Xenopus tropicalis: one gene and its partners. The protein of the gene in region 4 interacts with the protein of the main gene of each other region in a pairwise test. Links are inferred from orthologs where the notes say so. Each region holds a gene or a part of one and is shown on either strand. Other genes may lie near its edges.

Region 1 (4,242 bases), on a different chromosome or scaffold from region 4:
GTTCAAGGCTTTGGAAATCTTTTTGTAGCCTAAGCCTGCTTTAAATTTCTCAATAACTTTATCCCTGACCTGTCTGGTGTGTTCTTTGGACTTTATGGTGTTGTTGCTCCCAATATTCTTTTAGACAACCTCTGAGGCCGTCACAGAGCAGCTGTATTTGTACTGACATTAGATTACACACAGGTGCACTCTATTTAGTCATTAGCACTCATCAGGCAATGTCTATGGGCAACTGACTGCACTCAGACCAAAGGGGGCTGAATAATTACGCACACCCCACTTTGCACTTATTTATTTGTAAAAAATGTTTGGAATCATGTATGATTTTCGTTCCACTTCTCACGTGTACACCACTTTGTATTGGTCTTTCACGTGGAATTCCAATAAAACTGATTCATGTTTGTGGCTGTAATGTGACAAAATGTGGAAATGTTCAAGGGGGCCGAATACTTTTGCAAGCCACTGTAGAACCTGTGCACTTTGGAGTTAGGACCAGAGTAAAAGATTACTTTAGGATATTTTAAGTCTTCTGAATGTCACTGTTGTCACTAAATTGTAAAAATATAAACTAAAGATTACTGTTGGCAATTCAAAAAATGGCCACAGGATCCTCTTATGTAAAAAAAAAAAAAAAGCCTAAAAACTTGTGAAAAGTCTTGCATTAGTTTACGAAAAAATAAAACCTGGAAAACTGACACCACCGTGAACAAATGAGCCTAAAACGTAAAGATTACTGCTGCTCTATTTCACCCAATGTCTTCTCCTAAATAACCAGTTTTGTCCCTAAATTGTAATTGTTGCCCTTACTTAAAAAAAAACTAAACAAAAAAAAAACAAAACATTGGGACCTTCACCTGGCCCTAGTTTAAAAAAAAAAAAAAAAAAAAGACCCTTTCATTGCTAGTCAAATTGAAGAGGCACTGATGGCAGCATGTTTGATAAGAAATTATTTTTCTTTGTTACCAGGTTCATTAAAGCAGAGCCAAAAAAAACCGTTTTAGGTAAAACAAAGACTTTGCAACACAATATCCACCTAAAAAATAAAACAGAAGCCGTGAAAAGAATAAAATCATTTGTCAACCCAGCAAATAGGGTTTGTTCACTGACACAAGTGTAAGTTCTAATAAGAAAAAACAAATACTTAGTTGTGCCTAAATATAGGCAGCATGCATAGTAGGCTACCACCACGAAATGACTCTTTCTTTCTATAACTGCGAAAACTACTAGCTGTGAAGCAAACGTTTGCAAACACGCTTCCTTGTATTACTAGCGCCTTATAATTGTGAAACAAGGAAGTAAGTTGTCACCCCTCTACGTGCCGCGTCACTGCGCTTATATACGTGTGGTAGTGACGCCACAGTCTCGCGAGATGACAATTTTGACGTCGGGATTAGCTTTCCGGCAGGAGCCAAGGAGCTGGATATTAATGGCGTTGTTGGACGATTAAACGGCAATCTGGTTCTGCGGGCTGTGTTAAAAATATCGAGAGCGTCCCGCGAGAAGCGGGACTGTTGGGCGGTATGTCAGGTTGCGCTTTTACTTCTAAATTATTTATTCGAAGTTCTCATTCCCATTGAATTTAGGCCGAGTGTATTGTGATTTCTCAGAAGCTTGCATTTCTTCACTGTAGGGTGTCTGGCACAAATACCTAAGGCCTCATAAAAAATGCATGTTTTATTGTATGTACAGCGCTTTCCAAAAGGGGTGAGCCTTTAGAGCGATCTTAAGACACTGAGCTTCTTAAATATTTCAATTAAACAAGTGAACGTATCATTTTCCCCATATAGTGCTAAAGAGAGGGGCGAAACCACAGCTGCTTTATACAGCTCAAATGCTCTCTTCTTTTTATTACTTTATAGAGTATATACTGTATTAAACCTTGACTTTTTGCAATACGGAAAATTGAACATGGGCTTCATGTCAAGAAGAAACATTCTATACTGTATTAAATTGTGTTCCAAATAATCATGTCTCATCTGCATCTAGTTAAAGGGATACTGTCATGAATTTTATGTTGTACTTTTTATTACCAAATTACACTGTTTACATAAAATATAATTCAATTCACCATTTAAAATTGTATTCTTGAACCAACAAATGTATCTTTTTTTAGTTGTAATATTGGTGTATAGGCAGCCATCTTAGTGCATTGTGCCTGATTCTGAGCTTTCAGAAAGACCCAGTGCTACACATTAGAACTGCTTTCAGATAACCTACTCCCATGTAACTGGAGGAGTCCCAAGCCGGACGTAGATTTCTTACTATTGAGTGCTATTCTGATATATACTGGCAGCTGCTATCTTGCTGCCTTCCCATTGTTCTGCTGATCGGCTGCTGGGGGGGGGGGTGATATCACTCCAGCTTGCAGCTCAGCAGTAAAGTGTGACTGAAGTTTATCAGAGCACAGGTCACATTGCTGTAGCACCCTGGGAAATGAAGAATATGGATAGAACCATGTGAAATTTCAAAATTAAATATAAAAAAATCTTTTTTTGAAAAAGTGATTTCAATGCAGGATTCTGCTGGAGAAACCCCGTTAACTGATGCGTTTTGAAAAAAACATGTTTTCTCATGACAGTATTCCTTTAACCCCCCTCACCTCTACCAAACACACACACAAATCACATTTTTTTTTTTCATTCAATTAAAATACTTTAATAAAGCTCCCCCAAAAAGGCTAACTTGAAAAGATGCTTTTTGAGTTCCCATTCATCTACTATGATCTACTGCTAGTTTAAGGAATTTAAGTTTCAGGGCACAGCAGTTACTTTGGGGTGTATTGCAGCTGTTTCTGAGAGAGATTCCATAAAATATCCTAAGTATATAAATTTCCAGTGGGTGGCTGGCTGGCTTCTGAAAAGCCCTGCTGAACTTTTTCTCCTGTTCAATAACAATAGAACTCTAACTTTATGTCTTCCAAGGGACTGTCAAAGTGGCGCAAATGGTTTAACATGGAAAAAATGGTATCAATTCCAGGAAAACATAAAATCGAGGTTCTATTTCTCATCTGGATATAGCACCTGAGAAATGGAACTGAAATAAAGATCTGTAAACAATAATAACACCTATGCTGCCAGTTTTTCTTCTGTTCATCCGTTTTTAAACTGGAACAATTCAATTGTTTATCATAGACTGGTTTTCAGTTTCTCTAATCAACCTCATAAAACCTTTTAATTTTTTTACCAACAGGATGGCTGGTTGTGGTGAAGTTAGCCACTCTGCTAACATGCTGCCCACTAATAAGAAACTGGTTGAGCCTTGTCCCAACAGTGCTCCTTCATTGTCTGTTCCTGAATGTGCTATATGCCTGCAGACCTGTGTGCATCCAGTTAGTCTACCTTGTAAACACATATTCTGCTACTTGTGTGTGAAGGGGGCTTCTTGGCTTGGAAGGCGTTGTGCTTTGTGCAGACAAGAGATTCCTGAGGACTTTCTTGATAAGCCTACATTACTGTCACCTGAGGAACTGAAATCTGCAAGTAGGGGAAATGGAGAATATGCATGGTATTATGAGGGAAGAAATGGTTGGTGGCAGTATGATGAGCGGACAAGCAGAGAGCTTGAAGATGCCTTCACAAAAGGCAAAAAGAGCACAGAGATGTTGATAGCTGGCTTCCTCTATGTAGCAGACTTGGAGAACATGGTTCAATACAGGCGTAATGAGCATGGACGGCGTAGAAAAATCAAGAGAGATATTGTAGATATACCAAAAAAAGGAGTTGCTGGGCTAAGGCTTGAATGTGATGCAGCAAATGTAAATCTAGCGCGAGAGAGCTCAGCAGATGGTGCGGACAACATGGCAGCACTTGGAGCTTCTTCAAGTCAACCTACACCTGTGTTACCAACAAGGCTGCACACATCCCTCAGTACAACTGCAAGTCATGCCCTTTCACATTCTGATGTTACTTCTTCATTGGAGAACTCCTTTGCTCAGCTTCAGATTGGCGATCCTGTGATAGGCAGGAATAATATAGGTGAAGGTGAAGAAGGACAGCCTCTAATTAACGCTAGAATGCCAGCCCCCAGTGCTTTGCTGGAAGAATCAGAGCCAAGTGACAGTAATGACCATGGAAGTCCTACATTACAACATAATTCACTTCTTGTGCCACAAAGTAATAGGCTCCCATTTGGTAATCCCTGATTGTACCCCACCTGCATAGGCACAAAGTACCAGTGTAAGGTCTAAAAGACCTGATGGACAGTGCACAGTCACAGAAGTCTAAAGCAGTCAGCCAGAGAAAG
Region 2 (3,500 bases), on a different chromosome or scaffold from region 4:
ATTTTAAATTTAAATCATTCATATTCAAAAATTCCACAAATTGTGAAAAAGCTAAATCAGTACCCCTCCATACAAAAAGGAGGTCATCCACAAACCTCCTATATAACACCACGTGCTGTAATAAAGGTGCCTCACCACCAAAGATGCGGGATTCCTCCCACCAACCCATGTACAGGTTGGCATAGGTGGGCGCAAATTTAGCACCCATTGAGGTCCCGCATCTCTGGAGGTAAAAGACACCCTCAGATTTAAAAAAATTGTGCGTCAATAAATATAAAACAGCATCCAAAATGAAGTCCTTAAGAACGCTATCATATGAACTATAATTATCCAAGTGGTAAGAGAGAGCCTGCAAACCTTTGTCATGGGGGATGCAGGAGTAAAGAGAAGTGACATCTATCGTGCCCCAAGAAAAACCATCCTGCCACTCAAAATCACCTAAAGTCTGCAAAATATGTTTTGTGTCACGAACATATGAAGTCAAACGTAACACTAAAGGCTGCAACAAAATGTCTATAAATTCAGATAGTCTTTCATTTAGGGACATGATCCCCGAAGTCGGAGTTCCCCTTTAAACATTGTGTATTGTGCTTTGTTTCTTGGCTGGTTTCAGGCTGCTGTCTGGGCATGCCCCTTTCAAGCAAGATGAACTAAGATTATTTTTTTTTTCATATTTTTGGATGTATTAAATGAGGGAAAAACAGCACGTCAAAAGGAATGCAAATATTCTTTAAGGGTGTGGGACATTATCTGCTCACAGTGTGCCTTCCTTGGATACCTACATGTGTGGGTGCAAAATAACACACTTATGCAAAACTCTAAGGAAAAAATGTGGGATTCACAGCACTGTTCTAAAAAATATCTTAATTCCATTTTCTAAAGTGTGCACGGCAAAAAAACCTTTTGCTTACTCCAAGAAATTAGAATATGTGGGCCCCTTTAGTGACTGACCCCCATTGCCTTTGTTAATACTGTATGTCTTAACATTCCCTGTCCGTTTTAGTACCATAACACCATTGCTTTCTAATTTTAGTTTTCATTTAGCATATTTCCCAGAATTTCAGCCTAGTTGTTGCTATACAATTTTCTAAGCTAAGTTTGCATAGAAATATTTGTATTTATTTATATGTAGTGAACTGTAGTTTCCATGTCTTAGCTGCCATCAAACCACAATATCTTCTATTTTTATAAAAGCAAGTTAAATTTATATCCCTGATTCGGCTATACATTACAATTAGTTCCTGGTTAATTACATATTGCACTAATCTTGACCCATTCATCCACTGGAATGTGACCACCGCTGTTTATTTACTTTTTTCACACATAATAAGCACATGAATGTTTCTTTGTTTCTTACGCTGCTTATATATAAATATATATTTGCTATTTTTCTATGATCATTTTGCAACTTGTGTATGTTTGTTACTGGTACAGGAATAACGTTCAGTTTGCAATTCTATTCCTAAGCTAAACATCCTATTCCCAAATTCTGTTAACAATACATATGAAATAGTGTACCTGTGTTTGGGCAACAGACCCTTATTAAATGACTATTATACTGATCAGATAATTGGTTAAAAGTTTGTTTGTAAAAGCCAAGCAAGGATTCTAGTTTTGCATAATATCTGAAGGGAAATGTTGCGCTAACATTTTTAAAAGATATATCAACAAAGCATCAGATAAATAATGTTCTGGCCTGATTAACATCAAAATATATGATATGCTAAATATTTATGAAAACATAAAAATTAAAGTAAACTTCACCAATGGTTACAATGTATTTTTAAAAGTTATCTTTTTAGTTTCTAAGCAGGGCTGTTCTACCCAGTTATACCTGTTCTTGAGAGTACTGTTAAATTTAAATATTTAAATGTTTGCTATTTCTTGTTGCATAGGTTAATGTTGGAAAGATGGACTCACCTATTGAGAAGTGGAACCTAATTATTGGTAACTTAGCTTTAAAGCAGGTAATTATTAGAAATTTACATTTTAAGCATTGTAGGTCACATGGGGTCCCCATTGCTCAGTATGGGAGCAAAATTAAAAAAAAATCAGCCGTATATAAATAAAGTTTTTGGTTTTTTTTTTTTACTGTAAGTTTGTGGATGTTGAAAACAATGTTAAGGCTTTGATTTTTGAGCAAATAAGGTAACCAGCACTATTCTAAACGTTATTCAGCAAGGTGTGATTTGCTTAATTCATTTATTAATATGAGTTTAAACAATACGTGTGAGAGCTATAAATTGTTGCTCGTAACTGGCATGACGTTGCTATAGCAAGTATTCTTCAATTTTTCATGCTTGATAGCTGGAACATGCTGTGCTAGCAGCATCTATAGACGAGAATTTATTGTTGTTCATCAGGACAATCAAGTATTAAATAAATAATATAAATTACATATTGCCATATACAATTCAGAATAGAGCTAGGTAAAATACAGTAAAAAAAAAAAAAAAGCTGTGTAGTTTTAAGTTTTATATTGATCATGATATTCCTTAAAGCAGTGATCCCCAACCAGTGGCTCCTGAGCAACATGTTGCTCACCAACCCCTTGAATGTTGCTCTCAGTGCCCCCAAACCAGGTAGTTATTTTTGAATTCCTGACTTGGAGGCAAGTTTTGGTTGAATTAAAACAAGATATATACTACCAAATAAAGCTCCTGTAAGCTGATAGGGTGCATAGAGGCTGCCTAATAGCCAATCACAGCCCTTATTTGGCTCCTCCATGAACTTTTATGGTGCTTGTGTTGCTCTCCAAGTCTTTTTACATTTGACTGTGGCTCACGAGTAAGAAAGGTTGGGGACCCCTGCCTTAAAGGATTGAGACTGAAAATTGATATTATGTATGTAGAACAGTCATGCTTGTATTACAAATTTGATAAATTATGTTGATTTTCCTGAAATCAAGTTAAACAGAAATACATTTATTATTACTTTATCAAGTGAAAACTTTAATAATACTGTTGTGTCTTCTAGGTACAAGCAACAGTAGTTGGCTTTTTAGCAGCTGTGGCTGCTGTTATATTGGGCTGGATCCCAGAGGGCAAATACCAGTTAGATCATGCAGTCCTTCTGTGCTCCAGTAGTGTAGCTACAGCTTTTATTGCATCTCTTCTGCAAGGTATGATCATTTATTCAATACCACATTCATATTTTCTGTCAGAGTCTCTGAATTGCAGTTAGGTTTCTAGTATGTTCTTTTCCAAGCTGGTAAGAATAATTTCTGTTTCTCATCTGTGATTTGGCATTTATGTAGAAAGCTTGATAAATATTTACTATATAAATAATAAATAGACAGAATTTGTATATGTTAACATATTCTAGGTCATTTATTTACAATTGCATTTAAGAAATTAAAATAAGTTATATGGAACAGGGGATTGTAAACAGGTCACCTAATTTTTAGTTCAGAAGCAGAGATAAATCAGATCCATGATTTTGGAATTCAGTCACATTTGAAATGCTTCACAAAAAATATTGCCAAAATTAATAACGCATAT
Region 3 (3,500 bases), on a different chromosome or scaffold from region 4:
ACGAAAAAGTTGCGGAACATACGAAAAAGTCGCAAAAATAGCGATCATTGCGAAAAACACATTCGGACCGTTCGTGGATTAGTAAATCTCCCCCATGAGTCAGCTTCCTGCTGATAGGCTCAGATCCACATTCCTAAGGGGGGGGGAGTGAGTTCTTAGTATTCTTGAGGGGGGGGGAGCAGGAGAGAGCAGAGAGCTGCGTGTCTCTGGCACATGAATTACAGACACAACAATAGTAATGTAATGTAGTAATGTTGTGGATGAATAATTTTTTTAATGTTTCGTGGTTGCCTGAATACACTGCAGTCCTTCCAAAAATTCAGTGAGAATATATACTAAACTCAGGGGGTAATGCTTCTAAAAACACTGGAAAAACTCATAAATATAGGAGCCTGGGGGGAAATGTTCTCTCTGTTTTCCTTTTGGTTGCGTGCATACAAATATCTGTTGTTCTAGTTTATATGTTCATAGTAGACTTTGCATTTACATGTATAATTTGTGAAATGTTTTATTTTTCAGGAGTTGTTGGAACTTTCTGAATACCTTGTGGTAAGCATGATAAAGTTTAGCAATTATATTGTGCAATTTCTAATCTCTTTTTTTTCTAGGGATGCACCAAATCCATTATTTTGGGATCTGGTTAAACCACAGATCCTTTGTGAAAGATTTGGGCAAATGCTGAACCGAATTTGAATCCTAATTTGCATATCCAAATTAGGCCATGGAGGGGTCAGATAGAACTGCCCGCAAAGTGTGCGGTGAAAACTTTTTCGCTTCCGTGTTTGTGACAAAAAGTCTAGAGAATTTAAGGATTCAGAATCAGCCCAGCAAGAATCTGAATCCAAATCCTGCTAAAAAAGATGAATCTTGGCCGAATCCCTAAATGAATCCTGGATTTGGTGCATCCCTGTTTTTTTTTTAAATTCACATATTAAAGGGCAGACACAATCAGAAGAGGGCCCTATGTAGAAAAGTATAAAGCCCCCCTGACAGCAGTGCTTAGTACAGTACCACTCATCCTAGTATGGCCACAGTAGTCCTCCGGATGTCTCTATCATCAACCCATTCAAAATTCTGCCCACCTGCAAGATCTGCCTTTCTATGTGTAAAGCATTAGGGAGATGACAGGGAGTGGTAGGAAGGCACATTGACACCACCCTCTCTCTGGGGTGGATAGGGAGCATCCCTCAGGCAAACGGAAACAAAAATTATTTGTGAGAGTTGCTGGGGCACTGTTCAAGTGTATGAGGTATATGTGAGCCCTTACAGCCAACCGCAAGGACTAAGTATCACCTTTGCATAAAAAATGACAGTGTTATTTATCATCAGCAGCATTTATAATTTTTGTGTGACTTAGAGAAATTTCACTAAATAACCATATAAAGACACAAGGCAACAGGCTTCTTTAATACAGGTTACTGACCATGTAAATGAGGAATTTAGAAGTTAACTTAGAGCCTCATAACCTCTACAGGAGCACTCAGCTTAGGCCTCATGCATTTATACGTCCACAGAAAATACATTATTTTACATTAAGGGGGTACATTATATCTGATATTAATGTCACTTATTTTTCTGACTTCTGCAGGAAGCTCTCCATAGAGAGAGGAAACTGAAAAAGAAATTGTGCTCCTTGCAGGAGTTGTTTCGAACACTCTTACAGACATCTGAAAAGTCATTCAAGGTAGATTCTGTTTGATAAACCATGGGAATTCTGAAACAGGGTTATTCTGATTTGTTGGTTAAAAAGAACTATGGTTGCTTGTTTATTTACTGCTTTGGTGCCCTAAAAAATATGGTCATATTGGTCAAAATGAAGAATAAATATTTGTGGCCAGAGATAAACTTTTCCTTGGGAACCACCAGTTTAGATGTTTCCTGCTGTGTGACACTCTGACTTGAATGCTGTATAATCTCTGTAATACGCTGTGTAATGCCACAAGTACAGGTATGGAAACTATTGTCCAGAATGCTTGGGACCTAGGGTGTACCGGATGGAGAAAGATCTTTCCATAATTTGGATTTTCATGCTTAATTTGGATCTCTGTACTATAAGTCTATTAAAAAAATATTTTGACATTAAATAAACCCAATAAGGACTTCTTATATCTTAATTGGGATCATGTACAAGGTTCTGTTTTATTATTACAGAGAAAAAGGAAATCATTTTGAAAACCTTTATTTGATTATAATGGACGCTGTGGGATATGGCCTTTCTGTTATTCAGATCTTTCTGGATAAAGGGTTTTCAGATAATTTATCCTATACCTCTGTTATGTGCAGCATCGCCTGCTTTAAGTAGCACTGCCTACAGCAGGGTGGCACATGGGTGTCCCATGGTACAGCATGCCATCATTGGATCTCCATTTCTAGACTGGGCTGTTTCTGCTTTTTTCATTAGAAATGGTTGTGCACCCACAGTGCCCCTGAAGTATATTTATTGTTTCAAAGATTTAAGTTCAGCTTCATATGAATTTAAAAAGATGAATATAAACTTTTTGGAATGGATGATTTAGATTAAGATTTTAATGGCACTGTTAATTTATTATTTTCAATTTTATTTAAAGCGCATTCCTATATATTACTTTAAATTACAAAATAGTGCTGCATAACAAAAACACATAAAAATGCATACAAAGGTCCAGTTTCAAATCACTGAAAGAAAAATGGATCCAACAGTAGAATACCATGGTGTAGAATGCCATGGTGCTTTGCTTCCTGAATGTTGAAATAAGTTGAAAATGTTGAAATAGTAGTGTGAGTCCTAATAGCTGAGTCCTAATAGAATTCATCATAGCATGTGTGAATGTGATAGAGACCTTAGATTGTATGCTTCACTCTGGGAAGTACTGATGTGAATGATGTATATCTGTAAGTGCTGTGGAACATGCATGTGCTATATCAATAAAGATAAAAGTATTCATAGTGCAAGTGGTTCTTGCTCGCTTCTCATTGTTACTGGGGTGCATTTCACAAAAGTGGAGATAGTATTTTTGGAGTAAAATTAGAAGGAATACACAAAAGGGGTACAATTTAAGACAAAATAACAGTAGAGATAGATTTGTTGAATTTTCCACCATATTCATACACCTCTATAAGCCAAATTGCACACACAATTTGGCTTATAGACTATGACATAGAAGGAACTGGTTAGAAACTTTAAAAATAATGAATTCAAAATAATTAGTAAGAAGGGAAATTCTGACGGTAAGATAACTAGTTTTAGCAACTCTTCATAAGCTTTGATGTGGTTTGCTGATGCTTCCTCTATATGCATGCAGGAAAAAAAGCATTTCTTATTGCTTACAGACAGGAAATGTATCTTCGTTTCAAGAGAACTACAACTACAGAGCAGGTGTTCCCAACACAGGTTTCTTTTAGTGGGTTATTTTGCAGTAAAACGCTAGAAAATCCAGAACTATAATATATATGGGCAATGAGTTGTAGTCTATGTATCTTAAAAATAGAGAAGATCTTTGTTGCAGAGTGAAGAGAGAATG
Region 4 (3,500 bases):
ATGGCGGCTCAAGGGATGTAAAAGGGCAGTATTTACTGATATACAGTATATATTCCAGTTTGACGAGATTGTTTATTAGGCCACTTAACATAATATAAACTCTCTGTTGGTTAAGTATACATTCTGGGGGTATAGTTTTATTTTAACTTGTAATTTCATAGGAATGTTTGCTCTTTCAGAGCTAGCACTCTCCAGGAATACATCTGCAGATTTCTTTGAGGTCCTGCCTCAAGAGGAAGAACTAATATACCCTAAGCTTTCAGCAAAGGGCTTGTATAATGTATAAACTGCAAGGAACCTGCTGGAATCCTGAATCAGAAGAAGGGCAGCTATCAGACAGCAAAAGTATGTTTTTAATGTATTATTAGATATGTATGTGCTTTTAATGGAAATTAAAGTGGCTGTACCCCCACTTGTGGATGGCTTTTTATATTCTCTACACTTCTGACTACATTGTTTCATGCATCAGAGTGGAAAGGGAGAAACAAATGCTGCTTTCAGTTTGAAATACATTTACAAACATCTTTAAAACCCATTAAAAACGTTAAATGTACGTGTATGTATAGAAATAATTTGCTGTGCCTTTACGTCTCAGATGCTACTCAGGGCTGTCTTAATGGTGTTCCTAATTCTACATCAGAAGAGCAGTTGCTGGATACCGCATTTGAAGCATGTGATACAGAGGGGAGAGGTAAGAAACTCTTGCTGATGTAAAAGAGCGCCTCATGAGTAATATAATAGGGTGTAATACTTCCCAACTAAAGGAAAACAGCGGGGCAGAATTATTATGTCAATTATGTTTTTAAGCAGCAGTAAGGACAGTTACTACTCATAAGAAAATCAGTGGAATTGCGGCTCATTCACTAGTTTTTATAAAACGCTACTACCGAGTCGTTAAGCTCTTTAACTTGCATTGTCATTCAGACTGATGTCCGCCTTACTGCAGCTAAACATATTATTGTGTTTACTAAGGAACTGCCCACATTGTGCATAGGTAACAAAAATCTGCAGTTTTGCTGTTAAATTCCACTGCTAAACTACCATAATATGACTAAATTTGCCTCTAGGAGAAGTAACAGTGTTTCAGATCATTGACTACTTGAAGAGCGTAACAGATCAACCTTGTGATGGAGACCGACTCCAGCACCTTTGTAAGATGCTGGATCCTGAAGAGCAGGGAAGGTCCCTAGATTTGCCAACCTTCCGTAAAGTCATGAGTGAGTGGATTGCCAGCTGCTGCAGTGACAGGTATGTCGGCTCATGCGTTTAGAGAATGTAAGTATAAATTTGGCCATATAATCTTTGGTCCCTGTTGGTTGGCAGACCAATTCATCCCACAGGGTTCAGTTGGGTTAAGGTCAGGGCTCTGTACAGGCCAGTCAAATTGTGAAAGTTGAAAGCCATGGCAAAGAACCCCAGACCATTATTCCTCCTTTACTAAACCTGCCAGATGGTGAAGCTTTATTTACGTTCAAGAGAATGCACGTGTACTTGCTGCAGAGTCCAATCCGAGAAACCTTTACAACTTTGCAGCATACAAATGGCATTGCGTATTAGGGGCGGCCTAAGCCAACCAGGCCCTAGACAAATTGGTCGGCCCCTTGGCCCTGCACCCTTCCCCCCTCCTTGCATCTGCGCATGCATTATATATGGTGTTGCAGGGGGGCGTGAGCCATGCAATGAGAAGCAGCAGAGGCAATGACAAGGGAGCTCGGACTAGGGGTAAGCAGGAAGTACCTGCCTGGCGCCCTGGCAATCTGTGGATTCTGGATCCAGAGGGGCAGCTGTAAGATGCCATAGACTATTGGGCTGGTGGGTGGCTGTTTTGGCCCCTGTGTACTTGAAATGCCAGGGCCTATTTTTGATCCAATGCTAGGCCTGCTGGACTGACAATCATTGCATTCCGGTAAATGCCAGAGGCGCTTCTGTAAGGCACCATAGACAACCACTGTTTTTTAAACCTTTGTGGGACTGTTTGGGCCTCTGTGTACTTAAAATGCCATGGCCTATTTTGAACCACAGTCCAGACCTGTGCAGGTGCTTGACATCTTTTTAAGCTATTAAAGGTGAAGGAAAGTCATTTTGCTAATAGATTAGTCACAATAGTGCAAGATAGAACGCTATATTTATTTTGCAAAAAGCTTTACCATACCTGAGTAAACAGCCCTAGAAGCTCCCTCCATTTGTTTAAGATAGCAGTTGCCATTTTAGGTCTTGGTAGCTTTCTGCTTCTGATAGCATAGATCACACATTCTGATGGGAGGGGGAGTGAATTCTTATGGGAGGGGGAAGCAGGAAAAGGGACAGAGGAGAGCGTTCCACAGACTTTTTCTGAGAGAGGAAGTCTGATACTGAAGAACATCTTTACAAAAAAGGAGACAAATCCTGTGCTTTTTTTGATAGAGGACTCTGAGTGCTTATGGCTGTATTTACATAGACCTTTCTGATAAAGCTTACTTAGTTTTCACCTTTCCTTCTCCTTTAAATATTGCAGTTTTACAGTATAGTGACATGATGTGCAGTCTTATATTTCTTTTTACATACAGTGTAAATAGGACCCTAAGATTTTACTGTCCATTTTAATAATTTCTATATATGCAGTGATATTACTGAAACAGTGGAAAATATAAAATCCGAGAAAGGCTCATCTTTACCATGTGGTAAGTAAAAAAAGCACTTGTGATTAATATATTTCTAATTTAGATTTTCCTTTGTACATTATATATCCTCTATTTCAATCCATATGAAAATTAGGCTACAGGTACACTACAAAACTGGAGATACATCAGCCTTATGGCTGTAAACATACCCATCACTACCCCTATACTGCTGGGTCAGTACTCTGTATTCTAACCCAAGGCTGTCTGTTATACATAGTAACATAGTAAGTTGGGTTGAAAAAAGACATACGTCCATCAAGTTCAACCATAATGCCTATATATAACCTGCCTAACTACTAGTTGATCTAGAGGAAGGCAAAACCCCATCTGAAGCCTCTCTAATTTGCCGCAGAGGGGAAAAAATTCCTTCCTGACTCCATAATGGCAATCGGACCAGTCCCTGGATCAACTTGTACTAAGAGCTATCTCCCATAACCCTGTATTCCCTCACTTGCTAAGAATCCATCCACCCCTTTCTTAAAGCTATATAATGTATCAGCCAGCACGACTGATTTGGGGAGGGAATTCCACAACTTCACAGCTCTCACTGTAAAAAATCCTTTCCGAATATTTAAATGGAACCTCCCTTCTTCTAAACGGAGTGGGTGCCCTCGTGTTCGTTGGAAGGACCTACTGGTAAATAAAACATTAGAAAGGTTATTATATGATCCTCTTATATATTTATACATAGTTATCATGTCACCTCTTAAGCGCCTCTTCTCCAGTGTAAACAGACCCAACTTGGCCAGTCTTTCTTCATAACTGAGACTTTCCATACCCTTTACCAGCTTAGTTGCCCTTCTCTGGACCCTCTCTAACTCAATAATAATACACACAGGT
Region 5 (4,185 bases), on a different chromosome or scaffold from region 4:
AGTGGGTCAGACCAGTAGCTGCCAAACTCTATGCTCTACTCAAAGATCCAAACTTTGACCAGCTCCCCCCACTTTAAGGTCCAACCACTGTTCAGCACCCTCTTAAAGGTCCAACCTTTGACCTGCCCCCACTGAAGGCCAAACCAATGACCTGCCCCCACTGAAGGCCAAACCAATGACCTGCCCCCACTGAAGGCCAAACCAATGACCTGCCCCCACTGGAGGTCCAACCTATGGCCAGCCCCCTATGAAGGTCCAACCTATGGCCAGCCCCCTATGAAGGTCCAACCCATGGCCAGGCCCCACTTGAAAGTCAAACCATTGAGCAACCCCCCTTGAAGGGCCAAGCCTATGACCAGCCCCCCCCCCCATAAGGGTCCAAGCTTTAAACAGGCCCCCCATGAAGGTCCAACCTTTGACCAGGGCCCCCCATTTAAGTCCAACCTTTGACCAGGGTGGTCAGGGCCCCTTAGCTCATAAAATTAGTAGAAATTTGGGGCTTTGGGAAGTGGGCTCTGGGCAGCTGTGGGCTGTCCAGTATTAATGATCTAAATATTTACTAGTTCACCTTATACTGTGACATATATATTGAGTATATACAGTGTATTGTGAGTGGGCCCCTAAGCTCATGTAAGTGACAGCAGCCCAGAGCCCCAGGTCTCCCATGCCTTGGGTCCAACACATAATGTGCAACAGTTCTTGCCCACTTTTTGAGTTAAGCTTTAGTTCTCCTTTAATAGCATCTGCCTATCATTGCTTTTATTCCTTCCCCGCTGAGGGGCACCTGGGGGCTCCTTCCCCTACTTCCTGCCTGCAAGTGTGCAGATACCCCGATGCCCCCGCCTTCCTTTATTTCCATGGCGCTGAGTGTTATTGGGCAACAGAAACCTTGCGCTCAGTCAGGGAAAGAGAAGAAGTAAAGGGGAAGTTAGAATGTTGCAGCTCAGACAGGAAGTGTTTGTACATAGAGGTTAGGAAAGCGCAGCAGGGCCCCATCACAGTGCGAATTATTCCTCTCACGGGGCCACACTAACGTTACAGTGCTGCCAGCTCCCCTACACACAATCTGTCCTACTGTATGGGCAGTACCCAGACATTCCTCTACCCCCTTCTGCAGGAACCCCTCTGTACCCCATAACTTTCCTATACCCCCTTCTCTAGGAACCCCTCTGTACCCCATAACTTTCCTGTACCTCCTTCTCTAGGAACCCCTCTGTACCCCCTTCTGCAGGAACCCCTCTGTACCCCATAACTTTCCTATACCCCCTTCTCTAGGAACCCCTCTGTACCCCATAACTTTCCTGTACCTCCTTCTCTAGGAACCCCTCTGTACCCCCTTCTGCAGGAACCCCTCTGTACCCCATAACTTTCCTGTACCTCCTTCTGCAGGAACCCCTCTGTACCCCATAACTTTCCTATACTCCCCTCTGCAGGAACCCCTCTGTACCCCATAACTTTCCTATACCCCCTTCTCTAGGAACCCCTCTGTACCCCATAACTTTCCTGTACCTCCTTCTGCAGGAACCCCTCTGTACCCCATAACTTTCCTATACTCCCCTCTGCAGGAACCCCTCTGTACCCCATAACTTTCCTATACCCCCTTCTCTAGGAACCCCTCTGTACCCCATAACTTTCCTGTACCTCCTTCTGCAGGAACCCCTCTGTACCCCATAACTTTCCTGTACCTCCTTCTCTAGGAACCCCTCTGTACCCCATAACTTTCCTATACTCCCTTCTGCAGGAACCCCTCTGTACCCCATAACTTTCCTGTACCTCCTTCTCTAGGAACCCCTCTGTACCCCATAACTTTCCTATACTCCCTTCTGCAGGAACCCATCTGTACCCCATAACTTTCCTGTACTCCCCTTCTCTAGAAATGGATCAGTACCACTGGACTATCATGTACTCCCCATTAGCAGGATGTAGCAAGAAGTTCCCTATCCTTCATCAGGAACTGATCTGTACCCCCAGAGCTCCCTGTATCCCCAGAGCTCCCTGTACCCCCAGAGCTCCCTGTACCCCCAGAGCTCCCTGTACCCCCAGAGTTCCCTGTACCCCCAGAGCTCCCTGTACCCCCAGAGTTCCCTGTACCCCCAGAGTTCCCTGTACCCCAGAGCTCCCTGTACCCCAGAGCTCCCTGTACCCAGCTCCTGTACCCCAGAGCTCCCTTACCCCAGAGCTCCCTGTACCCACAGAGCTCCCTGTACCCACAGAGTTCCCTGTACCCACAGAGTTCCCTGTACCCCCAGAGCTCCCTGTACCCCCAGAGCTCCCTGTACCCCAGAGCTCCCTGTACCCCCAGAGCTCCCTGTACCCCCAGAGCTCCCTGTACCCCCAGAGTTCCCTGTACCCCCAGAGTTCCCTGTACCCCCAGAGTTCCCTGTACCCCCAGAGTTCCCTGTACCCACAAAGTTCCCTGTACCCCAGAGTTCCCTGTACCCCAGTGCTCCCTGTACCCCCAGAGTTCCCTGTACCCCCAGAGCTCCCTGTACCCCTCTGCTGAGGAAGCTGATCTGTCTCCAAGGAAGTGGGGGGCATTGATGGGACCCCCTTTTACAGGAATTCAGAGTTAGCCCACAAGTGCTGGAGCAATACCCTGGGGTTTCCCATAAAGCCCTGCTCTCTGCTTGTGTCCGGACTTGTAGAATCAGAAAGACCCTCCTTAAGACCATGAAGTACCCACCACCCAGCCCAGAGCCCTGGAACACAAGACAACAGAGTGGCTCTAAACAGCCCTATACAGAGAGCAGGCCAGCTGGCCAGACATGACTTACCTATCTGTGTGCTCCCAGCTCTACTCTCTGACCCGCTTGCTTGGAAGGAACTGCGCTTCCTGCCCAGTCAGTCTGGGCCGCGGTGCATGCTGGGACGCTGGACACATCGCATAGACGCTGTGCTTCCTTATCTCAGCACCAGAGGGCGCCCCTTGGTAACGATATCCTGCAACAGCGACACAGGCAGTCTGTAAGGATCATGTGATCACGTGGTCCTGTTGTGTAACGTGGGAAAGGCGGAAGTCGAACTGCCATAGGTCCCGGTAGGTAAGCCCGCCCACTCCTAGCTGTGATTGGCCAGGTGACGAGTCCGTCGCCAAAGGTGGGCAGGTACCTTAACAAAGGCCAGGGTGACAGAAGGAGAGAGTGTGGCCTGGGTGCTTCCTGGGATCTGGGGCCACTTGTTCCTCAGGTACCCCCCCCCTCTCTGGCCCCTCCCAGTCTGGGGCAAAAGCCAGAGGCACAGGGGGAGCCCCACAGCGAACATGAAGTGTGAAAACTGCACCAAAACGGTATGTCTGGGTTATGGGGGGGGGATGTTTTTACTGGTATTATTGTATTGTCTGTGAGTTTGCATCAGGCTTTTATAGCAAGGGCCCCTCCAGATGTTGTTGAACTGCTACTCCCACCCCCCCCCCTACAGTACAATGCTGGGAGCTGTAGTTCAGCCACATCTGGAGCTTTCCCCTCAAATGCAACTGTACTATCTGCTGTTAGGGCTTTTGCTGTTTTATATTCCCTGTGTCTGTGTCCAGGCAGCCCTCCAGCTGTGGTTAGAGGGGATTATGGGAGATGTAGTTCCATAGCAGCTGTGGCCTGGATATAATGCCAGTAAACAAGGCAGACAGTTAAAGGCAAAGCTGAGCCTTGTGATAGGAGGTTAATGAATAATAAGCCAGGAGACAGAAGGGAAAACTGCTTGTCTGGGGGTTTGGGGAGGTAGTCGGGGCATGGAAGCGCCTCCCGTTGGAGGTGGGAAGACTGTGACCCAAACATGGACACCCATGACCATCACAAGGGGCTCCTTTCACTTCCTCATAGGGGATCATTAACTCTTTATTGGACACGTAGGAGCTGCAGTACATTGGGGTGCCCCAGTCAGACCTGAGGCAGCCCCGGCACGCAATGGGTTAACGTGAGACAAAGGGGGACATGGCCTGTCACTCACAGACCCACCGGAACCTGTGCCAATTAGGAACTCACACAAGGACTGTTAATACTGCAGGCTGAGGATCTCTTACCTGGAGACCTGATATCCAGAAAGCTCCGTTCTGTATCTTCTCACAGTTTCCCTTTTCTCTGTAATAATAACACAGATCCAAACTAAGCTGGTGAATCCGTATCGGGGGGCAAAACAATCCCATTGGGTTTATGTGGCTGCTGGGGGGACACTAAGCCTAAGAAGCTTATG
Region 6 (3,500 bases), on a different chromosome or scaffold from region 4:
ATAAACAAAAGTTAAATAAGTTTTTTACTGTTATACTATGGGGCACATTTACTAATCCACGAACGTCTGAAAAGCGAATACAATTCACGAAAGTCATAATGGCTATGAAAAAGTCGCGACAATTCACGAAATTTGTAATGGCTATGAAAAAGTCGCGACAGCTCACGAAAGTCACAATGTCTATGAAAAAGTCGCGACAATTCACGAGATTTGTAATGGCTATGAAAAAGTCGCGACAGCTCACGAAAGTCATAATGGCTATGAAAAAGTCGCGACAATTCACAAAATTTTTAATGGCTATGAAAAAGTCTTGACAATTCGCGCAAGTCGTAACGGCTACGAAAAAGTCGCAAAATGTTCGTTTTCCAAAAAATTTTTTTACTGAAAATATTTTTGAGAAGTGTGTACATCATCTAATTTAACTATTTTCTGTTCACCTTTTGCAGACTGAAAACATTCCTGTGGTTAGAAGACCTGATAGAAAAGATCTTCTTGCATACCTAAATGGGGAAACGTGTAAGTGCCATTTGCATTAATAAAATGATCATTTTTTTAATATAACGGACCAGTGATAACACAAAATTAACAATATGAAAGTTATTTAACATAACAAAAATAGCAAATGCAAGTCAAGTTTCTTGACCATTTCTATAGACCATATTTGTATTTGAATATACGTGTAGATTTCCAGTAGATACACAGAAGGGGGTTGTGGGAGCACTCCAAGGCTAAATAAAGTATACAAATACAATGGAAGTGCGACTGATCTGGCCAAATTAACTACAATCATACAAAAAAGAGGGGGATTGATCAATGCACATTCCCTCGTCCCCTCTTTCATAAGTAAATTATCTATGCTAGTGCATGTATTTACAAAAAACGTGTTTTTAGTTACAAAATTATGATCATAAGATTGGTAAGCCACCATACCACGTCAAGGTAAACCCCGTATGGTGGTCCTATCTATTTACCTCTGGTCATATATTTCAAAGGCCGGCACTCCCGTGCACTGTTGCCATTCTTGACCTGGGGGCTGGTTTGAGTCAGTCCACCCCCATGCCTTTAGCTTTTATAGAGAGAGATTGCCAGGACCACAGCTTGGTCCTACAGGCTTAATCCTCCACCACTTGTGGTTTGTAAAGGAGATTTCCAGTAGGACTTGTGCTGCAGCAGTTCACAGGTCACTGTAACTCCGTTCGCAGCTGTGCATCCCAAAGTCTATATGGAACCCTTCTGTGAGACATCATGCCAGTCTAACCATGTGTTATGTAACTGTAGGATCACTATCTTTTTGAGGTGCATATGGGTGAAGTAAACACTGCACATTTAGTTTGGCTGTACTGTTGCGTGGAGAGTTTGTTTTCTTGACATCAGTCTTTTAGGGAGGTCTCTGAGGAAGTGCGCTGTCACGAAACGCGTAAGACCTCAAGCTGTGTTTTTTAGATGTGCAAATAAAGGTTGATCAACTTTAATATCATCTGTTGCGGCTTTTTTATGCTGACCTGGAGTGCACTGCCAATGTGTGAACTTTTGTGATCAGTCTTTTAGGATACCCAGATTAAGGGGGCATTTACTAACCCTAAAAGTTACAACTTTTTTGAGATCTACTGTGCAACAAACTGGCTAAAAATCTGAATCCGACAATTTTCCAGTTAAAACTTGCTAAGATCATGTAGTCAAGTCAGTGGCAGATGTCCCTTCCCCTTCCCTGGAGGTTCCTTCTGTTGCTTCATAACTTTAGAGGTTTCAGATTTTTGATGCTGTTTTTTGTGTGACAATTCAAAAAAGTAGTAGTTTCGGTGTGGCAATTTGAAAAAAGTTGCGTTTTCCTGATTTTTCTGCAACTTTTTCCCACACAAGTAAATGTCATAAATTTGTGGAAATTAGTTTATTTAAATTTTTAAATTTAAAGTTAAAAAATAGAGCTATCCTCTTTTTTCCTGGAATTTTGAGGAAAGAAGAGGATCGCTTGCTTGCATGTACCCCAGGCCGCTGCAGTTTTCTAACAGGAGCATCAGCTTTAGGGTACCAGTGCCTTAAATTTGGCACCCCTAGTGATTTATTCTTTTTCTTCTCCTTTAATGCTGTGTATTCTGAGTAATAACTTGAATAAGCAAATACTGTGATGAGTTGACCTTTTTTCTGCCGGTGTATTGAAATAATCAAACTGACTGCTTGTTAATATCTTAGTTCAAGTATAGTTACTTTATCTCAACCGTTTCTGCTTTCTTTAGCATCATCTGCCAGTATAGACAGAAGTGCGCCACTTGAAATTGGTCTTCAGAGATCCTCACAAGGTATGTGCATAGGAACATTTATGTCATCTTTATTCTCTTGGATGCAAGGATGGCCCCCTAGCGCTCTTCATCATGTCTAGCAACAAGGGAATTAAATGAGTTCATAACAATTGTTTTTATTGTAGTAAAGAGAGTTGCAGATGAAATATCCGCTGAGGCAAAGAAACCAAGAATAGAGGTGAGTTTTCCCTTTCTGCACATTATAAAGGTGTTAGGAAGTTTTTGTCAGGCTCCCTGACCTGTTTGCTACAGATTCAAATAAAAAGGATGTTAAATTTTTTTTGAGAAGTGTAGCCTTGGGAGCTATATTGCAGTGGATTGATTTTGTATAGGTTAGATGAATGACTAGAAAAACCCACTTGAGTCTCTGCAAATGTTGAACTACCCTCTACCCGCTGACAGCTGAAGGATGATAACTTGTTATACTGTAGTTCCCTTGCTTGTAAATACTCCATTGACTGTAAATGTATTTGGTTTATAAACAGCAATACAACTTCTTTTTTGGAATAAAATCACATATTAAATGTTGAAAAACGCCTTTATGTTATCATATTTCAACAAGCAATTCTTTATTCTACATTTTCAATGATTTTCTGTGTAATAAATTAGTGCAGTGTATTTGATGGTAGTGTTATGGAAAATTCAAATACTGAAGGTCATTTGGGGTAGAAGAAGGTAAGGTTTATTTGACACGTATGTGGGTTCTGAGCAAAGCTAAGGGTCAGAACAACAGACCAAAGACAGCACTGTATTTTATAAATTTTGTGGCATAGTAGAATACAACATAAAAAATACATTTGAGCTACCAGTTTACCAGTGTAAGCGCATAGAGATATGTGTTCACAGTTAAGAAAACAAGGAACTGCTTACAGCCAAACAGGTGGCTCTGTCTGCAAGGCCAGAAAAGTAGTAACCAAGGCTAGCTTGAGAGCAGAATCCATCCAAGTCAGGGGGGCCTGTGGTTAAATCTGCACACAGAAAATGTATTCCTTATCAGTTGCTTATCATAAATATATACTAATTGCAAGACTGTCAGTACTGTTTATAGCTGAAACAAAAAGATTAAAATTCTAAAAAAAAAAAGGGTGACACTTGCAATAATGCAGACACACTTTTGCTGCTGACTGGATTTGCCTTTGTTATGCACAGTAGCTTTGGCTCTGTGGATGAATGGATAGGTAAATAGACAACACTACTATTTGT
Region 7 (4,195 bases), on a different chromosome or scaffold from region 4:
ATTGGCTGCAATGCTGTCATTGGCCAGGAAAGTAATCTGTACTGGGGAGATATTGGCCACAAAGCTGTCATTGGCCAGGAAAGTAATTTGTACTGGGCAGATATTGGCCACAAAGCTGTCATTGGCCAGGAAAGTAATTTGTACTGGGCAGATATTGGCTGCAATGCTGTTATTGGCCAGGAAAGTAATTTGTACTGGGCAGATATTGGCTGCAATGCTGTTATTGGCCAGGAAAGTAATTTGTACTGGGCAGATATTGGCTGCAATGCTGTTATTGGCCAGGAAAGTAATTTGTACTGGGGAGATATTGGCTGCAATGCTGTAATTGGCCAGGAAAGTAATTTGTACTGGGCAGATATTGGCTGCAATGCTGTCATTGGCCAGGAAACTAATTTGTACTGGGCAGATATTGGCTGCAATGCTGTCATTGGCCAGGAAAGTAATTTGTACTGGGCAGATAGTGGCTGCTATGCTGTCATTGGCCAGGAAACTAATTTGTACTGGGGAGATATTGGCTGCAATGCTGTCATTGGCCAGGAAAGTAATTTGTACTGGGGAGATATTGGCTGCAATGATGTCATTGGCCAGGAAAGTAATTTGTACTGGGCAGATAGTGGCTGCTATGCTGTCATTGGCCAGGAAACTAATTTGTACTGGGGAGATATTGGCTGCAATGCTGTCATTGGCCAGGAAAGTAATTTGTACTGGGCAGATATTGGCTGCAATGCTGTCATTGGCCAGGAAACTAATTTGTACTGGGCAGATATTGGCTGCAATGCTGTCATTGGCCAGGAAAGTAATTTGTACTGGGCAGATATTGGCTGCAATGCTGTCATTGGCCAGGAAAGTAATTTGTACTGGGCAGATATTGGCTGCAATGCTGTCATTGGCCAGGAAAGTAATTTGTACTGGGCAGATATTGGCTGCAATGCTGTCATTGGCCAGGAAAGTAATTTGTACTGGGCAGATATTGGCCACAAAGCTCTCATTGGCCAGGAAAGTAATTTGTACTGGGGAGATATTGGCCACAAAGCTGTTATTGGCCAGGAAACCCTACTGGCCCAAAGGCCTAATATTGTTTCTTGTACACAGGGAGCCATTACGTTGCTTTTGTTGGTTAAGGATGATAATAAAGTGGAATTAGTAATTCTGTAAGTCAATATTTCAGAAAAAATAAACCATCAAATTCTACCAGGTGTTATGCCAGCATTTCCCATTCTGCCTGTGCTGCGCCCCAACTATTTCCTATAGCAACTAACACCCTCATAATCTGTCAGAGGATTCTATTCACCTTGTATTCTGTCCATCAGCACCGAGAGAACTTCTCCTCAGCATTTCTATTGGGCAAAGCTCATGTTGGACCTCCCACTACCACAGAGTCTTTAGCAATCAGTGCAGAGCGTCTATTCCTCCGCGTACTTCCCTTTTTCCTGCAAGATGGCGCTGCCCTGAAAGCCGGGCATGTGTTCTATGATCAGCTGATGATGAGAGGGAATTTTATCTTTGTTTTTTTAACATTTTTGTTCCTGATTTCTGCCCAAGTGATCCTTACTTCTAATTAACCATCATAATCGCAGTGACTCGTCGGCTCAGGTATTTTATATGCGCTACTTTCTCTCTGTGGTCAGTGTCACAGCGCTGGCAGGTATAGATGGTGTTCTTTTTGCGCTCAGAGCAGTAGCATTCTCTTATCCTGTGTGATACTGCAAGAAAGCTCTTATGTATATAGTATATAAGTGCCCCATAAGGGAGAAAATTGTATGTATCCAAATACAGGGAGTTTATAGAGGAACTAATAAGTTGCACAGTAAGGTTGGTGCACTGAGGGGTACTGTAAATGATAAGGATATTAGCAGTCACTGAGGGGTTCTTTGCCCCCCATATAAAGGCACAAGGCTGCAGGCTGAGTTATACAGGGAACTCTGAGTATCACTCATGTATTATAAGGGATAATGTACCCCCTACTGTAAATGATAAGGATATTAGCAGTCACTGAGGGGTTCTGTGCCCATATAAAGGCACAAGGCTGCAGGCTGAGTTATACAGGGAACTCTGAGTATCACTCATGTATTATAAGGGATAATGTACCCCCTACTGTAAATGATAAGGATATTAGCAGTCACTGAGGGGTTCTGTGCCCATATAAAGGCACAAGGCTGCAGGCTGAGTTATACAGGGAACTCTGAGTATCACTCATGTATTATAAGGGATAATGTACCCCCCTACTGTAAATGATAAGGATATTAGCAGTCACTGAGGGGTTCTGTGCCCCCCATATAAAGGCACAAGGCTGCAGGCTGAGTTATACAGGGAACTCGGAGTATCACTCATGTATTATAAGGGATAATGTACCCCCTACTGTAAATGATAAGGATATTAGCAGTCACTGAGGGGTTCTGTGCCCATATAAAGGCACAAGGCTGCAGGCTGAGTTATACAGGGAACTCTGAGTATCACTCATGTATTATAAGGGATAATGTACCCCCTACTGTAAATGATAAGGATATTAGCAGTCACGGAGGGGTTCTGTGACCATATATAGTTATATACACACCCTCTTATAGTTGAGAGATGATTAAACAGGCACATGGGTGCACCAGCTTAAGACAAAGCTTTGCCTCTCATTTGTGATTAACCCACATCTGTCTATTTGTTTTCCAGCAGCAAGAGAATGAGTGCCTCTTCTGGGGAAAAGAGCCAGGGCAGGAGGTTTGCTGAACAACAGATGCACAAGCATGGCTGGACTGAAGGTACTCGCTAATTCACAATGTGCATTTTATTACATATAGGGGGTTTGGCTGGGGAGCACAAACCCCTAAATGAAAAGTTTGCCCAGGGGAAGTAACCCATCGCAACCAATAAGATGTTTGCTTTTAAAAAGATAACCGGTAAATGCTACCTGCTGATTGGCTGCAATGGGTAATAAGAACTGTAGCAAACGTTGCTCCTTATATTACATTAACCTGTCTTGGGTTCTGTGCTACTGCAGACACGAGGGTCTGGCTTCAAGCAATGTATTCCTTAGGGATGCCTTCTGTAGCCTGAGAACAGTATGAATGGCTATTGGAAAGTGATTGGAAAGCTTTATTAATATTATTTTTATATACTTTATTAACCGTGTTTAACATTCACCCTATTTCCCTTCTAGGTAAAGGCCTTGGGAGACGGGAAAATGGTATTTCCGAAGCAATCAAAGTAAAAGTGAAATGTGACCACGCCGGGGTAAGCGAGGCCAGCAATCAGAAGCAGGAGCATTTCAGGTTGTCCCTAGAGTGTAGACTTTGGCCGAGGATGATGGGAGTTGTACTTTATATCATGTATTTATCAGCCATTTAGTGAGTAACAATGTAATGTTGGGGTTGAGATGTATCCTGCATGCCCATGATTGGTCAAAGGGACAACCCCCTATAAGTAATAAAAGGCACTAAGTTTGTCTAGGGGCAATAACCCATAGCAACCAATAAGAACTTTGCCTTTTAATGGGTGACTAGAAAATTTTACTTACTGATTGGTTACTATGGGTTACTGCTCCTGTGCAAACTTAATACTTTTTATTACATAACCCCTAAAGACTTGTAGTACAGAGCAACTCCAGCAATATAAATTGAATAAAGACTGGTTTTTATTTTTACCCTTGTGGTGCTCTGCTACTTTTTTCTTTGTATTTCTACTGCTGGGACCTATCTGGGGTCAGCGAGTAGCACACCTGGGCTTAAGCGGTAAGTGCTCCCGTGTATTGTTTTTATACTGCATTCCCTATAGCCATTAAAGTGAACCTGACGCCCCTTAATCAGGAGGTGGCATGGAAAATAATACATACAAACTATTCAGCTCGATGGGGCACGGTACTACGAGTCACATAAAGGGGGCAAATCCTGTAACATTTCTTTCCTACTGTGTTTAATACCCTTAGGTGGGACATAACTCTGCTGAGCAGTTCACCTTCCACTGGTGGGATCACGTCTTTAACAAAACCGCTTCCAGCATCTCAGTAGAAGCAGATCAGGTGAGAAGAGAATGCAGCCAGGTATCCTGCTGTGGGGACCGGGTCACACAATCACCAATTTGACACATTGGGAACTATAGGAATGGGGGAAATATAATAAGGCCTTTCATTAGTGACACCCCAAAACGTACCTGTATCATTTGAATGATGTTGCTGCTTCCCTTTTAATTCAAATTCTTTCTTTATATG

The links.
Region 1: the proteins of ccdc155l (region 4) and rnf146 interact in binary tests that used the Homo sapiens proteins (3 or more experiments, as listed by UniProt). The two-hybrid records come from large-scale screens. The link is inferred for Xenopus tropicalis from reciprocal best matches to the Homo sapiens genes KASH5 and RNF146.
Region 2: the proteins of ccdc155l (region 4) and slc41a2 interact in binary tests that used the Homo sapiens proteins (3 or more experiments, as listed by UniProt). The two-hybrid records come from large-scale screens. The link is inferred for Xenopus tropicalis from reciprocal best matches to the Homo sapiens genes KASH5 and SLC41A2.
Region 3: the proteins of ccdc155l (region 4) and TRAF3-interacting JNK-activating modulator interact in binary tests that used the Homo sapiens proteins (3 or more experiments, as listed by UniProt). The two-hybrid records come from large-scale screens. The link is inferred for Xenopus tropicalis from reciprocal best matches to the Homo sapiens genes KASH5 and TRAF3IP3.
Region 5: the proteins of ccdc155l (region 4) and cybc1 interact in binary tests that used the Homo sapiens proteins (3 or more experiments, as listed by UniProt). The two-hybrid records come from large-scale screens. The link is inferred for Xenopus tropicalis from reciprocal best matches to the Homo sapiens genes KASH5 and CYBC1.
Region 6: the proteins of ccdc155l (region 4) and cdc73 interact in binary tests that used the Homo sapiens proteins (3 or more experiments, as listed by UniProt). The two-hybrid records come from large-scale screens. The link is inferred for Xenopus tropicalis from reciprocal best matches to the Homo sapiens genes KASH5 and CDC73.
Region 7: the proteins of ccdc155l (region 4) and gpatch4 interact in binary tests that used the Homo sapiens proteins (3 or more experiments, as listed by UniProt). The two-hybrid records come from large-scale screens. The link is inferred for Xenopus tropicalis from reciprocal best matches to the Homo sapiens genes KASH5 and GPATCH4.

Annotation. Positions count from the first base shown.
Region 1 is NC_030681.2:67,899,962-67,904,203, forward strand, and holds the start of rnf146 (E3 ubiquitin-protein ligase rnf146), read left to right. Parts: upstream 1-1,442; 5' UTR 1,443-1,518; intron 1,519-3,189; 5' UTR 3,190-3,190; coding exon 3,191-4,141; 3' UTR 4,142-4,242. UniProt on the Homo sapiens protein: E3 ubiquitin-protein ligase that specifically binds poly-ADP-ribosylated (PARsylated) proteins and mediates their ubiquitination and subsequent degradation. May regulate many important biological processes, such as cell survival and DNA damage response.
Region 2 is NC_030679.2:50,199,933-50,203,432, reverse strand, and holds part of slc41a2 (solute carrier family 41 member 2), read left to right. Parts: intron 1-1,895; coding exon 1,896-1,967; intron 1,968-2,976; coding exon 2,977-3,121; intron 3,122-3,500. UniProt on the Homo sapiens protein: Acts as a plasma-membrane magnesium transporter. Can also mediate the transport of other divalent metal cations in an order of Ba(2+) > Ni(2+) > Co(2+) > Fe(2+) > Mn(2+).
Region 3 is NC_030678.2:50,640,977-50,644,476, reverse strand, and holds part of TRAF3-interacting JNK-activating modulator, read left to right. Parts: intron 1-519; coding exon 520-549; intron 550-1,588; coding exon 1,589-1,684; intron 1,685-3,500. UniProt on the Homo sapiens protein: Adapter protein that plays essential roles in both innate and adaptive immunity. Plays a crucial role in the regulation of thymocyte development.
Region 4 is NC_030683.2:112,407,440-112,410,939, forward strand, and holds part of ccdc155l (lymphoid-restricted membrane protein), read left to right. Parts: intron 1-179; 5' UTR 180-278; coding exon 279-345; intron 346-595; coding exon 596-691; intron 692-1,067; coding exon 1,068-1,248; intron 1,249-2,601; coding exon 2,602-2,660; intron 2,661-3,500. UniProt on the Homo sapiens protein: As a component of the LINC (LInker of Nucleoskeleton and Cytoskeleton) complex, involved in the connection between the nuclear lamina and the cytoskeleton.
Region 5 is NC_030686.2:46,139,715-46,143,899, reverse strand, and holds the start of cybc1 (cytochrome b-245 chaperone 1 homolog), read right to left. Parts: upstream 2,801-4,185; 5' UTR 2,775-2,800; intron 1-2,774. Other genes in the region: narf (nuclear prelamin A recognition factor), read left to right, coding at 3,260-3,286. UniProt on the Homo sapiens protein: Functions as a chaperone necessary for a stable expression of the CYBA and CYBB subunits of the cytochrome b-245 heterodimer. Controls the phagocyte respiratory burst and is essential for innate immunity.
Region 6 is NC_030680.2:113,572,843-113,576,342, reverse strand, and holds part of cdc73 (parafibromin), read left to right. Parts: intron 1-446; coding exon 447-516; intron 517-2,234; coding exon 2,235-2,297; intron 2,298-2,422; coding exon 2,423-2,475; intron 2,476-3,500.
Region 7 is NC_030684.2:133,213,077-133,217,271, reverse strand, and holds the start of gpatch4 (G patch domain-containing protein 4), read left to right. Parts: upstream 1-1,395; 5' UTR 1,396-1,593; intron 1,594-2,661; exon of another isoform or gene 2,662-2,664; 5' UTR 2,665-2,671; coding exon 2,672-2,750; intron 2,751-3,148; coding exon 3,149-3,222; intron 3,223-3,913; coding exon 3,914-4,006; intron 4,007-4,195.